Notamacropus eugenii: one gene and its partners. The protein of the gene in region 1 interacts with the protein of each later gene in a pairwise test. Links are inferred from orthologs where the notes say so. Each region holds a gene or a part of one and is shown in the gene's direction. Other genes may lie near its edges.

What was found.
Region 2: the proteins of ARRDC3 (region 1) and UBE2E2 interact in binary tests that used the Homo sapiens proteins (3 or more experiments, as listed by UniProt). The two-hybrid records come from large-scale screens. The link is inferred for Notamacropus eugenii from reciprocal best matches to the Homo sapiens genes ARRDC3 and UBE2E2.
Region 3: the proteins of ARRDC3 (region 1) and OTUB2 interact in binary tests that used the Homo sapiens proteins (3 or more experiments, as listed by UniProt). The two-hybrid records come from large-scale screens. The link is inferred for Notamacropus eugenii from reciprocal best matches to the Homo sapiens genes ARRDC3 and OTUB2.

What each region holds. Positions count from the first base shown.
Region 1 is NC_092875.1:449,016,752-449,020,499, forward strand, and holds the start of ARRDC3 (arrestin domain-containing protein 3), read left to right. Parts: upstream 1-1,220; 5' UTR 1,221-1,227; coding exon 1,228-1,507; intron 1,508-3,748. UniProt on the Homo sapiens protein: Adapter protein that plays a role in regulating cell-surface expression of adrenergic receptors and probably also other G protein-coupled receptors.
Region 2 is NC_092874.1:31,288,604-31,292,351, reverse strand, and holds the start of UBE2E2 (ubiquitin-conjugating enzyme E2 E2), read left to right. Parts: upstream 1-1,362; 5' UTR 1,363-1,659; intron 1,660-2,133; exon of another isoform or gene 2,134-2,284; intron 2,285-3,748.
Region 3 is NC_092878.1:35,625,975-35,629,722, reverse strand, and holds the start of OTUB2 (ubiquitin thioesterase OTUB2), read left to right. Parts: upstream 1-1,424; 5' UTR 1,425-1,612; coding exon 1,613-1,615; intron 1,616-3,748. UniProt on the Homo sapiens protein: Hydrolase that can remove conjugated ubiquitin from proteins in vitro and may therefore play an important regulatory role at the level of protein turnover by preventing degradation.

The sequences.
Region 1 (3,748 bases):
ATCATTTAATCCAGAATTAGGATTTAAAAAAAAATCATCCACACTATTTCTCCCTACAGTGTTTTGTTCTTTTTGTAAACAGAATGTCTAAGTAAACACTTGGTCTTGTGTTTTCTAAGGTTTCATTTCTTATTTAAACCAGACAATTCTTGAAGTCCTCTCAGCACTTCTTGTCAAACCCTTAAAATACGATTTGTAGGTGGTTCCTTTAAACAGGACTCTTTCTTTTAAGGAAGTGGTCAGCCCTAATTATTTGGTCGTTGGTTGTTTTTCATGGCAATGGAGGTTAGAGATGGAGAGGGCACACAGCTCTGCTTAAATTCAACTGGCCTCTCTCCTCGTCCATGGCAAGATTCTCAAAGGAAAGGCAGGATTCCTTTGACCTCCATGGAGTCAATTTCACCCTACCTCGAACAGCAACAAATACAAAGTGTCCAATCCATCCTCCCTGAATTTGTCTGTTAACCACATATTTAAAGCCTGGGTTTGTTGTCATTTTTTTATTGCAATTTCTCTTGAAATTCATCAGATCACGTTATACCGGCCCGTCCAACAGGTTTCTCCCTTCCCCCTCCCCCTCTCCTCTTTCTCCAGCAGTGCCCGGTGGGCACAGGTCAGCCCTGCCCTCCGTGCACGCCCTGGGCGAGCGGTTCAGCAGCAGCAGCCACCCTGGCCTCCTTCCGCCTGCGTCCCCTCGTGTCCCCTGCTCTGCCATTACGGCTCTATCACGGCTATTCGAATCTGCTCGGTAGTAAAGCCTCCCATCCCACTTCTGGAGTTTTACGGTAGCCTGCGCACCAATAGGAACACTCAATGAAGAGAAGTCAGGTTCAGCTCTCCGTCTACAGCAGTCTTCTTCCCTCTGTTCTACACCTACTGTACCAGAAAGGAAGAGGGACGCGAGGGAGGGGGGAGGAAAAAGGCAGCAGCAGAGCCGTGCGCATGCTCTGTGGGGTTGTTTTTCACAAAGCTGGTTTTAAAGTGAGCTGGCAAGCTGTAGCCACCCGTCTTTGTACAGAGACCACTGATCTGAGAAGCAGCAGCATCCAGTGCTGTGACTTTTTAAGAAACCTCAATGAACTATTTGTAAAGAAGGCACTGATCCTGCCTGCAAGCCTTTTGCACGGCAAAGACATCGATCAGTGTTTAGTGAAGATCGCATTTTATATGTGATCTTGACCTTTTTTTGGTCTTACATTATATTTTTTTATAGATTTTGTTATAATCATGGTGCTGGGGAAGGTTAAGAGTTTGACAATAAGCTTTGACTGTCTTAATGACAGTAACGTCCCTGTATATTCTAGTGGGGATACAGTCTCAGGAAGAGTGAATTTAGAAGTTACTGGGGAAATCAGAGTAAAATCTCTAAAAATTCATGCAAGAGGACATGCGAAAGTACGCTGGACCGAATCTAGAAATGCTGGATCCAACACTGCCTATACACAGAATTACACTGAAGAAGTAGAATATTTCAACCATAAAGACATCTTAATTGGGCATGAAAGAGGTAAGTTTTTTTGATTATTCAGAAGTCATAAAGGAATATGATTTTCTTTAACTTGCCTCTTATTTTCTATGAATTGGTGCAATTTAACTCTTGGCTTTTCAGTTTGAAATCTGAACGTTTGTTGTAGAGAATCTTTTTTGCAGACTTGAAAATCTGAATTTTTTTTGACATCTATCGAGTGTTAAGCAGCAATGCATTCGAGCCATCTGCAAAGTGACTGTATAAGAACACTTTGCTAACTACCTCTAACATCTCTATAAGCCTCTTGCAATACGCACTTGCAATTCATGTGTACCTTATTTCTAATAGCTCCTTCCATCAGATTTCAGCATTTTAATAATATGGTTTCCAAACGCATTGCTAGAAACTGGAGTCGAATCTCAACTGGTTTTTTGTGGGGTTTTTTTTTTTTTTACTTTGCAACCTTGGCTCTACAAAATGAGTTGCAATAAAAGCATGGAGTAGCATCTTCTAATGAACGCTTAGAGGTGCATTTTAGATTTTAACATCGACATGCAATAATTTCAGAATTAATCATTGTTCCTTGAAAAAGGGCTTCCCGTAGCTTATTTTGACATATGCTATCAAACACCCCACGTGTTATTTTTTTCTTTCCTATTCAATTCCAAATTCACATCAAGCTACCTTTTTATCTTTTCTTAGAAAAAATGAAAAAAAAAAAGACTATCATCATGGTAGCTTTAAAATTTGACCAAGAGGCCATTTAGGGTCAATTCTTTTCTTTTAAGAGCATCATTTCTAACTTTGGAACATACATTGAATGAAACCGGTGCCAGTCAAAAGGAAATGTAAAGGACTTCTCACGCTAGGTCTGATTTTGGTTAAAAAAGGAAGATAAAGACTGTCAAAGGGGGAAGGGGTCCTGAGATTGCTAATCTATTGTTTGAATGGATACATTGTGGAAATATAGCAGACTCTAAGCTTGTTTTTCTAAGTTTCCACCCTTTGTTAGAAGCGGTTCAATCCTGTTTCGGACCAGTACTGGGGGGGTGAGGAGGGGCGCCTGTTCTGCTCTCAGCAGATTGGTTACACGCGTCAGGTGGTGGCGATGACTTAATTCCTAGCACCAGACTATAATGTTAAAACTGGTTATGTAATTCTTGGTCCTTCTCCTTTTTAATGCAGTATTTAGTTCAGACGTTGACGATTTTGCAGATAAAACTAAGAATTTGAGATATTTTGCCTATTTTCCCCTCTTTTTAAGCAATTTATATTCCTACCTAAATGATGCCATCTCAAGCCTCAGTCAAATGTAGGCATAAATGAAAGATAATCTCACTTCCATGTACGATGCAGCATGTCAGGGTGTTACGGGGAAAATGACGTTTCCATAGAATAAAACATTTTAAAACTATCTGCCCATGATGTGCAGACTTTCATTGTTAAGGCCCTCAAACATCGAACCACCCTATAAAGAGCAAATGCCTAATCACATTCCTGGTGCTTATTTAAAAGTAGCCACCGGAGTTTGCAACTAATCACCTAAATTATCCATTTTTTTTTTTGGCGGGGGGAAGGGGGTAGGTAAATTGTTGAGTAGATATAAAAGACGTAGTTAAGAGAGACTCGCAATGGCTGGGGGTAGGGAAGAATGATGGGAAAAAATGAGAGCGCAGAATACACTTTAATTTGTGTCTGCCATATTTCATTAACAAGAACCTGTTATCACCCACCCCCACCCACTCACCACCCCCAGTCCGACCAAACGCGGACCGACGTTAACCTGGAATAGTTTCAATGACTTAGACCAGGGACCTCTCAAACTAGCCTGGTAACCGAGGCCACGCCCCGTGCCGGCAGCGATAGGCGGAGTTTGGTTTGTTAGCCTGTTGCTAAGGCGATGCCAGCTGCTGATTGGATTGGGTGCCTGTCCCGGTGGGGAGAGGGAATTCAGGGAGGGAGGGGGCGAGGCTTGAGGATTCCAGTTCCTGGATTCCGGCGCGCGCCGGTAAAGGTTCCTCCTGGGCAGCCCGTCAGTCGGCCTGTCTGCGGTCCCCATCCTTGTCCCTGGGCAGCCCCACGCAGTGCTTTTGGGACCCCGCTATGCTCCGTTGCCCTTCTAACTCCCTGCATTAACCCCCCCCCCAGACCCTTGTTGGAGGCCCCCGCAGGATACTAATTGGCCTTTCGTGGAATGAAAATGCTAATTTCTCTGTCTCCTCCCCCCCCATGGCCTTGAGGATACCGGGATTGTCTTGGACCCTCCCGTTTTTAACTGGA
Region 2 (3,748 bases), on another chromosome or scaffold:
TGTACAGGTCTAGGTTCTTTCTATTGGTCAAGTCAGTTTTCAGCACCTGATTCTACCAGTGGCTTAGGGGGTTTGAGAGATTGGCCCTGTTTGAAGGAGTCACTGGGGGAAAGGGTTTTCTTATCCGGGGAATGTGGAATTAGGCTTTGGGTGGTTTTCCCCCGGGATTTTCCTACCCTGATTTCTCTAGTTGTAGCCTGCGGCCTCTGTGTCGCCCAGGACTCTGGCCCTTGTCACCAGGAGGGCTTCGTCTGGCATAATTACACTAGGTCTGCAGCTTTCCCGGAGCTGGTCCGGATCCCACGGCTGCCCAGCCTCGGCAGCTGCCTGGGTCCTGGATTTGGAGAGGCCTGACTCCCGCACACCCCATTCAAGGTGGAGTCCCGGACCCCATCCTCCCCGGCGGGAGGGCCCCCAGGTGGCTTCGGTCGTGGGTGGGGAGGCGGCGCGGTCCGGGGCAGAGAGAGGTCCCGCAGCCCGGAGGCCCCGATGCCCTCCCCTATCCCCAGTCCTGTGGGTTTCAGAGGTCAGCAGCCTGGCTAAACTTTTTTGAATTCCCGATGTGCATGGGAAGGGGTGTGTGTGTGTGTGTGTGTGTGTGTGTGTGTGTGTGTGTGTGTGTGTGTGTGTGTGTGTGTGTGTGTGTGTGTGTGTGTGTGTGTGTGTGTGTGTGTCTATGGGTGTGTATGTGTGTACGTCTGTGTGTGTCTATGGGTGTGTATGTCTGTGTGTGTGTGCGTGTCTGTGTGTGTGTGTGTGTGTGTGTGTGTGTGTGTGTGATAGAGAGGGGAGAGGAGAGGAAGGACAGACAGACAGATGGGGGGGTTCTCTCTTGCTCCTGGGTGACTTTCTGGGCCCACATTCTCCTCCCCACCTCCGTCCTGCCCACTCCTCGGGAGAAGCTCTCCACTCCACCCCATCCCCCCGCCCCCCACCTTTTTCTGACTCTTTTCCCCTCCCCCTCCTTGTCAGTGTTTCCCTTTAACGCGCGCGCCCGCCACGTCCCTGCCAAGGTCCCCTCGCCCCCTCTCCCCTCCCCCACCCCGGCCACCCCTCCCCCTCCGAGCTCCTCCCAGCCGGCCTCCCCTCCCCCCTCGGCGCGCGGGGCTCAGCTGTCACTTTACTTTTTCTTGCTTTCTCTTCCCCCCCACCCCCACCCCGACCCCATGCTGCCCCCGCCCCTCGCCGGGAGGGAGGAGCCTCGTGCCCGCGGGCGGGCGCGCGCCTCCCGGGGCTGCCCCCGCCCCCTGGCTCGGGCGCGCGCCCGGCTCCGGGAGGGAGGGGCGGGGAGGGAGCCGCTCCGGGGACGTGGGGCGCGCGCACGGCTGGGAGCCGGAGCCGTCGGCGGCGCGGGCGCGGGCGCGGGGGGCGCGGGCGCGGGCGGAGGCGGCGCGGTCCGCGAGGTGCTGGTGGATTCACTTTTCCCAGAGTCCGGGGCGGCAGCAGCCGAAGCCCGAGCCCGAGGGGAAGGACGCGGGAGCGGCGGGAGCCAGAGCGGGGCTAGAGCGAGCGAGGGAGGAGAGCGGCCGGGCCCCGGGGGGCTCCGGGGGTCCCTGAGTCCGCGGCCGGCGGACGCCCCTGCCTCCCCCTCCTCCTCCTCCTCCTTCTCCTCCGGGAGCGGCACGAGACGGCGACCTGCGCCCCCTCTCCCCAGCCCAGGTAACCGGCCGGGGGCGGCCGCGGTCCCCCGCCCCTCCCCCGCCCGCCCCCTGCCACCCCCTCACTCCCGGCTCCTGCCCCATTTCCCCCCCCCTCTTTTCCATCTTCTCCTACTTTCTTCCTCCTCCCTCTGCCCTTGTCCTCCGCCGCCCCCCTTCTTTCCCCCATCCCCCTCCGACCCCTTCCCCTCCCCCTCGTCTGCCCAGCCCTCGTCCTCCTCTACCCATCCTTCTCCAGCCTCCCTGCCCCCTCCCCCCTCCCCCCTCCCCTCCCCCAGGCTCTGGCAACTAAGTCTTTGGAAAGTACAGCAGAAATGTCAGGTTGAAAAGTGTCCAGTTTAATCTTGGGAGATTCTCTCTAATTGCCAGATGATTGCACATTGTATCTTCTCCGTGACATGTGACTTCTCTGGTTCCCTTCCATCTCCTCCCTTTCCCCCCACCCCCCAACACACACCCGTTGGCCAGGCAGGAAAAGACCTGGCGCTTGGTGTACGTGTGTGTCGGTGTGGACCGGGGGGGTGGATTGGTCTTTTGTGCAGCCTGGTGCCTGGCACACTTTGGAGCAGGGGCACACGGCACATTTTTGTTCCTCTACAGCCTGCTTGGAAACCGGAATTCCCTGGGTTTGTTTGGTGGGGGGGTTCTCCCTCCCCACAACTGTTGTGATCATTTTGCCTCTTACCTTTGCTAAGGAAGATGGAGTACTGCTTCTTTGCGGGACCAAGCGGGGGGGAGGGGGGGGAGGGAGAGGGGGAGAGAGAGAGAGAGAGAGAGAGAGAGAGAGAGAGGGAGAGAGAGACAAATAGAAGAGACACAGAGAAAGGGGAGAGAGAGAGACGTGATCCCAGGCACTCTCTCTGCTGGACCTATTTGCATGTTTCCAGGATTCATCTTTCTGTGTAGCTGTTTTTTTGTTTTTAACAAGGTGCCTCATCATATGTTTACTTAAAAGTGTAAAGAGAAGTACTAAGACTGAACCTCAAATTATTTCCCATCATGTACAAAGGTTAAGCTTTCTTTGGGAGTACGTATGCATGCCTAGTTTCTTTTTTAGTGGGATATTTCTAAATGTCTAGTAATTCACCCAAGACCTTCGAGATAATAAGATACTTCTTGACCTAGACAGTATTGAAACTTTCTGGTTCTTAGCAGTTTTGTGTGTATGTGTGGACATCATGTATGAAAGTTTTCATAAAATTGTAGATTTCCCCACTTATTCCTATGCTCATCCTATCTTTTCCCATTTATCTGGTATAGATAGAATTTCTTATGTTTCCTAAAGAAATGCAAGATCAAGTACCTCACTTTCCCTATGGCTTTTAGTGTTTCTCCTTCCTCAAATCACATTGTATTACTTCTCTTTGTGCAGGTAGAATGTAAGCCCTTCCAGGGTAAGGAACTGTCTGTCCTCTTTCGGTCTTCTATCCCTAGACCTTGGCTCTTTGAAGGTGCTTGGTAACTGTTTCATTTGAATGGAATTAAATGCAGTTTTGCTTCAATTTGGATTGTGATAGCTTTTGTACATAGTAGAAATGGAGAAATGGACTAACCCTTTGTTTTGAAAAGGGCAGAAGGGAAAAAACACGAACAGAAAACAGCTAGACATTAAATGACAAACTAGGCATTTTCCTGTTAAAAAAAAAAGCTGGCATGACTTGTTATTATAATTACACACTGTGGGCTACTGTCAGAACATTTATCTCTTGGATGGTAACCTGGCCTCATGGAGTGAAAGTGATTTTTTTTTCCAGTTAGAAGTAATATTTATACCAGAATCATTGCACTTGAGATTCAGTGAACATGTGGGCTGCATTAGAAATATTTTGCTAATTTCAGGACTGTAGTTGAATACAGAATGTTTTGTAAACTTGAACAGTTTGTGAGTTTCTTAAAGTAAATATGTTCAGGAAAGGTCAATATACAAACTTTCATATAAAATACCATGATTCTGAGTTGTTTAGGAAATACTACATCATATTTTGTTTCTGAAGGTAAATGAAGGTGGGATGGCTATAAAATCAAAATAACCTTTTGAAAATTGTAACCAGTTTCAGACTGCTATTGTAAGGGAGCTCTGCATTCATAGC
Region 3 (3,748 bases), on another chromosome or scaffold:
AAGCAATCAAGGTTTTTGCTCTCTTTCTCCCATTCAGCTCTGGACACAATTCATTGCCCATCTTTACCGTACCAGACTCACATGCTGTTGGATAAGCTCTTTAGTGAGTTCAACCAAATGCAGGTTGAAATTTGGGCACTAGACTTTATTTATACACTTGATCTTTCCTATGTGGATGAATACGAAAAACTACTTTGAGCGATTATAGATTTCTTTCAATTCTTCTGCAATATTTAAAAGTTTGGTTCAACTGGCACAATGCCATCCACAAACCTAGAGGATCTCAACATCCAAGGCGAATTCCTCTTCAATGTGAACTCTGTGCTGAATCTATCTCATCACAATTGTTAACACCTTCCATGATCACAGATCTTTATTTTTCACCTGTTGCTTATTACCACAGGGTCATTGAATAGGGTTATTTCTATTTCATCTTTGTCATTTACATTTGTTACAAAGCATGGCTGTTTGGGGAGCAAGGGAAAGATATATTTGGGAAGGTGATGTAAAAACAAAAAATATAATCAATAAAAAAAAGTTTTTAAGAGATGAAAACAGCAGTTCTTTTTTGTTGTAGTCATTGCGCATAAGCAGTGACCTGTTCATACATTCATACTTTCCACTATTCCAAAAAACGGAAATCATACTGCAAATGGAAAGGACAATGAACTAGGAGTCCAGAAACCCAAGTTCAAGTATTAGCACTCTCAGTACACATACATAAATAAATGTCTGTGGACGTTCTATGGTGTCCTGATTCAAGACTCAAGAGGACCTGGGTTTGTTGCTAATACCGCTTTATGAACATAGACAAGTCACTTAACATTTCCGAATTTCCGTTTCCCAATCTGTAAAATGGGGGAAATACTACCTGTAGCACTATTCAATTTCACATGAATAATATATGTGTTGGAAACCTTGTGCAAACCTTGACAGACTGTACTAATGACCCCTCTTATTATGGAATGAATGCAGATTAATACCATTCCACGGGACAGGAAGAAAAGCTATTATTATGAATAACATGAAGCTAGATGCTAGCTAGACAATGAGCCAAGTACTGTGTAGGCAAGCCAAGTTCCTGGTCCTCTGACCTTGGGTAAACAATTTTTATGTAAACCTGTTGTTTACTGAGAAATTCATATGATAAGGAAGTCTTAAAGAATGGAATCTAAAATAGACTGCAGAAACATCATTTTACATTTTATTTTTCAAAACACACAAGTTCATTCAGCCTTTCAAAATGGGACCAGTCCTTTGAGGTTTAACTCTTGTAGTTGAGGTTTCTGTCTTTTTAAAAGAGGGTGGCGTTCAGTTACTGGAGGCCTACACATAGGCTAAAGCCAACTGAAATCCCGCCCTCTTTCTGTGACGTCCACGCTTCGCGGCTTCTGATTGCAGCCTTTAGGCGTCAAGCCCAGGGTGTGTATCTTACTGGGACACAGTGAAGATCTCACCTCTTGTTTGGTGAGCGGTCGGGTATTTTGCTCTACACTCCGCACCCCTCGGGGGCCCCCGACCGATCTGAGCTGGAGATATCGTTCTGTGGCGCCCTCCCGCGCCGGATCTCCTTCTCCCTGGGGCGGGACGATTTCCAGAGGCTCCGGTCACTATGGTCAGTGCAATGGGTGGGAGTGGAGGGGATATGGGGTTCCCAAGCCCGGGGCGCATGTGCACGCTCGGGAAAGGGGGCGAGACCTAATAGAGGGGGTGGAGAGGGGACTGCAGAACTCCTGGTCCTCCTTCGCCCCTACCCCCAAGCCCTTCTGGTTTGAGATCCCTTTTGGCTCCTAGGGCCTTCCTTCCCATCCCCCATATCCCACCCACCCATAACCCTATCCCTGGGACCCAGGAGGGGCAGTCCAGGGGACCCAGACCGTGCCCGGTCCGGGCTCCGGCGCTAGGGGCTGGATGGGGGTGCCGGGTAGCGAGTGTGAGGGGGAAGGTGTCTGGGGCGGTGTGGGGGGGGTGGTGGTGGAGAGGCCAGGAAACCCCACATCCCGTAGCACGCCAGCTCCCCCAAGTGCCCCGCCCCCTCTTCCCCTCCTCCCCCCAGGAAATTTGGCCGACCCCGTGAGAGCCTTTTTGGGGCAAAAACCCTCCATCTGGAGTCATGGCCACCACCCCCGTATGACCTTGGGCAAGTCATTTGGCCCCCCAGCCTCAGTTTCCTCGGCTGTAAAAAACCAGAGGGGCTTGAACTAGTAGAACTCTCCGGATCCAAATCCAGTCCTATGAATGAATCCATTCATTAAGCACATAGCAAGCGCCTACTGTGTGCCAGGCATAAGCTCTAAATCCTACGAAATACCCTCAAGCCAGACCTCCCACCCAGCTGGGTCTGACGTGATGCCTTTTCTATTTCGTGTTCAGGCACCTTCCCCACCCGTTCTTTGGGGGCAAGAACAAGACGCCAGCCCCTTCCTCCTTCCCATCGAGAGACAAGTTCCAGGGTTTGGTGCGTTGGAGCCAGAGAGGGGGTGGAGGGGCTGGGGAAGGGTTTACCCCTGTCCTGGAGCCGGCCTTTCTTTATCTGTGCTGAGCCCCGCTCTTCTCCCCACCCCTCCTCCGAGGGGGCTGCGGCTGCGGCTGCGAAGGGACTGGATTTCCCTGGTGGGGCTCACATTTCCAGGGTCAATAATAAGCAGAGGTGTGAGTATAAGAGGTACCTCTGAGACGCCAGAGCAAGCTTGGGGGGGAGGGGTGAGCAGGGAAAATGAAGAGACTAAAGGTGGGGGGGATGGTTCACTCTCTTTACCCTACCCCTCTTAGTTTCTAAAATGGAACTAAGAAAAGAGCACCCACTTTGAATCACAAGAACCAAGTTCATGACTGGTGGTTACTATATTACTGTAGGACTTTGAGCAAGTCACTTTACCCATAGGAAAATCTCTAAAAGAGGGAGGCCTGGGTTTTTCTTCCAACTCTAAATCCTAACCTCTGAGTGGGTCAGCCCATGAGATCACCTTCAGCCTAGCCCTGAGGAATGTAGGGGGGTCAGGGGGCACAGTTCAAGCTGCAGTACATTCCAAGCCCTGCCCCAGCGTGGATCTGACTAATCGCGTGCCCGAAGAGGCAGTCACCTAAGCTGTTAGCTGTGGGACAGAGAGGGCTGGTGGCACTGCCTGGGGGTGAACTACTCAGTCAGGTCCTAACCAGGGCTTGCAGTATTTGTCTGAGGAGTTTTCAAGGAGACTTGGTGGGTGCTTATCTTCAACGGGATTAAACACATTCCTTTGCTCACAGAGATACTGAGCATTTAGGGTGCTAGGGGCACTCAAAAGGGTGCCCTTTGAGTACCCATTCACCTGAATGGAAAACCGGAAAAAATAAGCCAGGTGGTTAAGATGTGTGTGAAGGCACCAGGTTATTTTAACCGCTAGCACCATCTAGTGTTTCTCTGAACTGTGGACTCAATGATAGGGACTAGAATAGGAATTTCATTGGTGTAGGGAACCTCAGTTTGATTCTACTAGAGTCTAAATGACTTGCCCAGGGTCACACAGCTACTATAAATCAAAATGGGGATTTCCATCCCAGGTCTTCCTAGTTTCCCTTTCCAGGCAACCTCTCCTAATGTTAGCATCTGAAAAAGGCCATCTGATCTAGTCTCCAGCAGCCCCCTTTTTAGCATCCCACGTCATTGCCTCTGACTGAGACTCTTTGCGGGTAATTAGAAAGGACAAAGGGAAGGAAGAGTAGAGGTTAGCAAGAAATACAGGAAAAGGACTTGCTTAAGAAGCAGCAT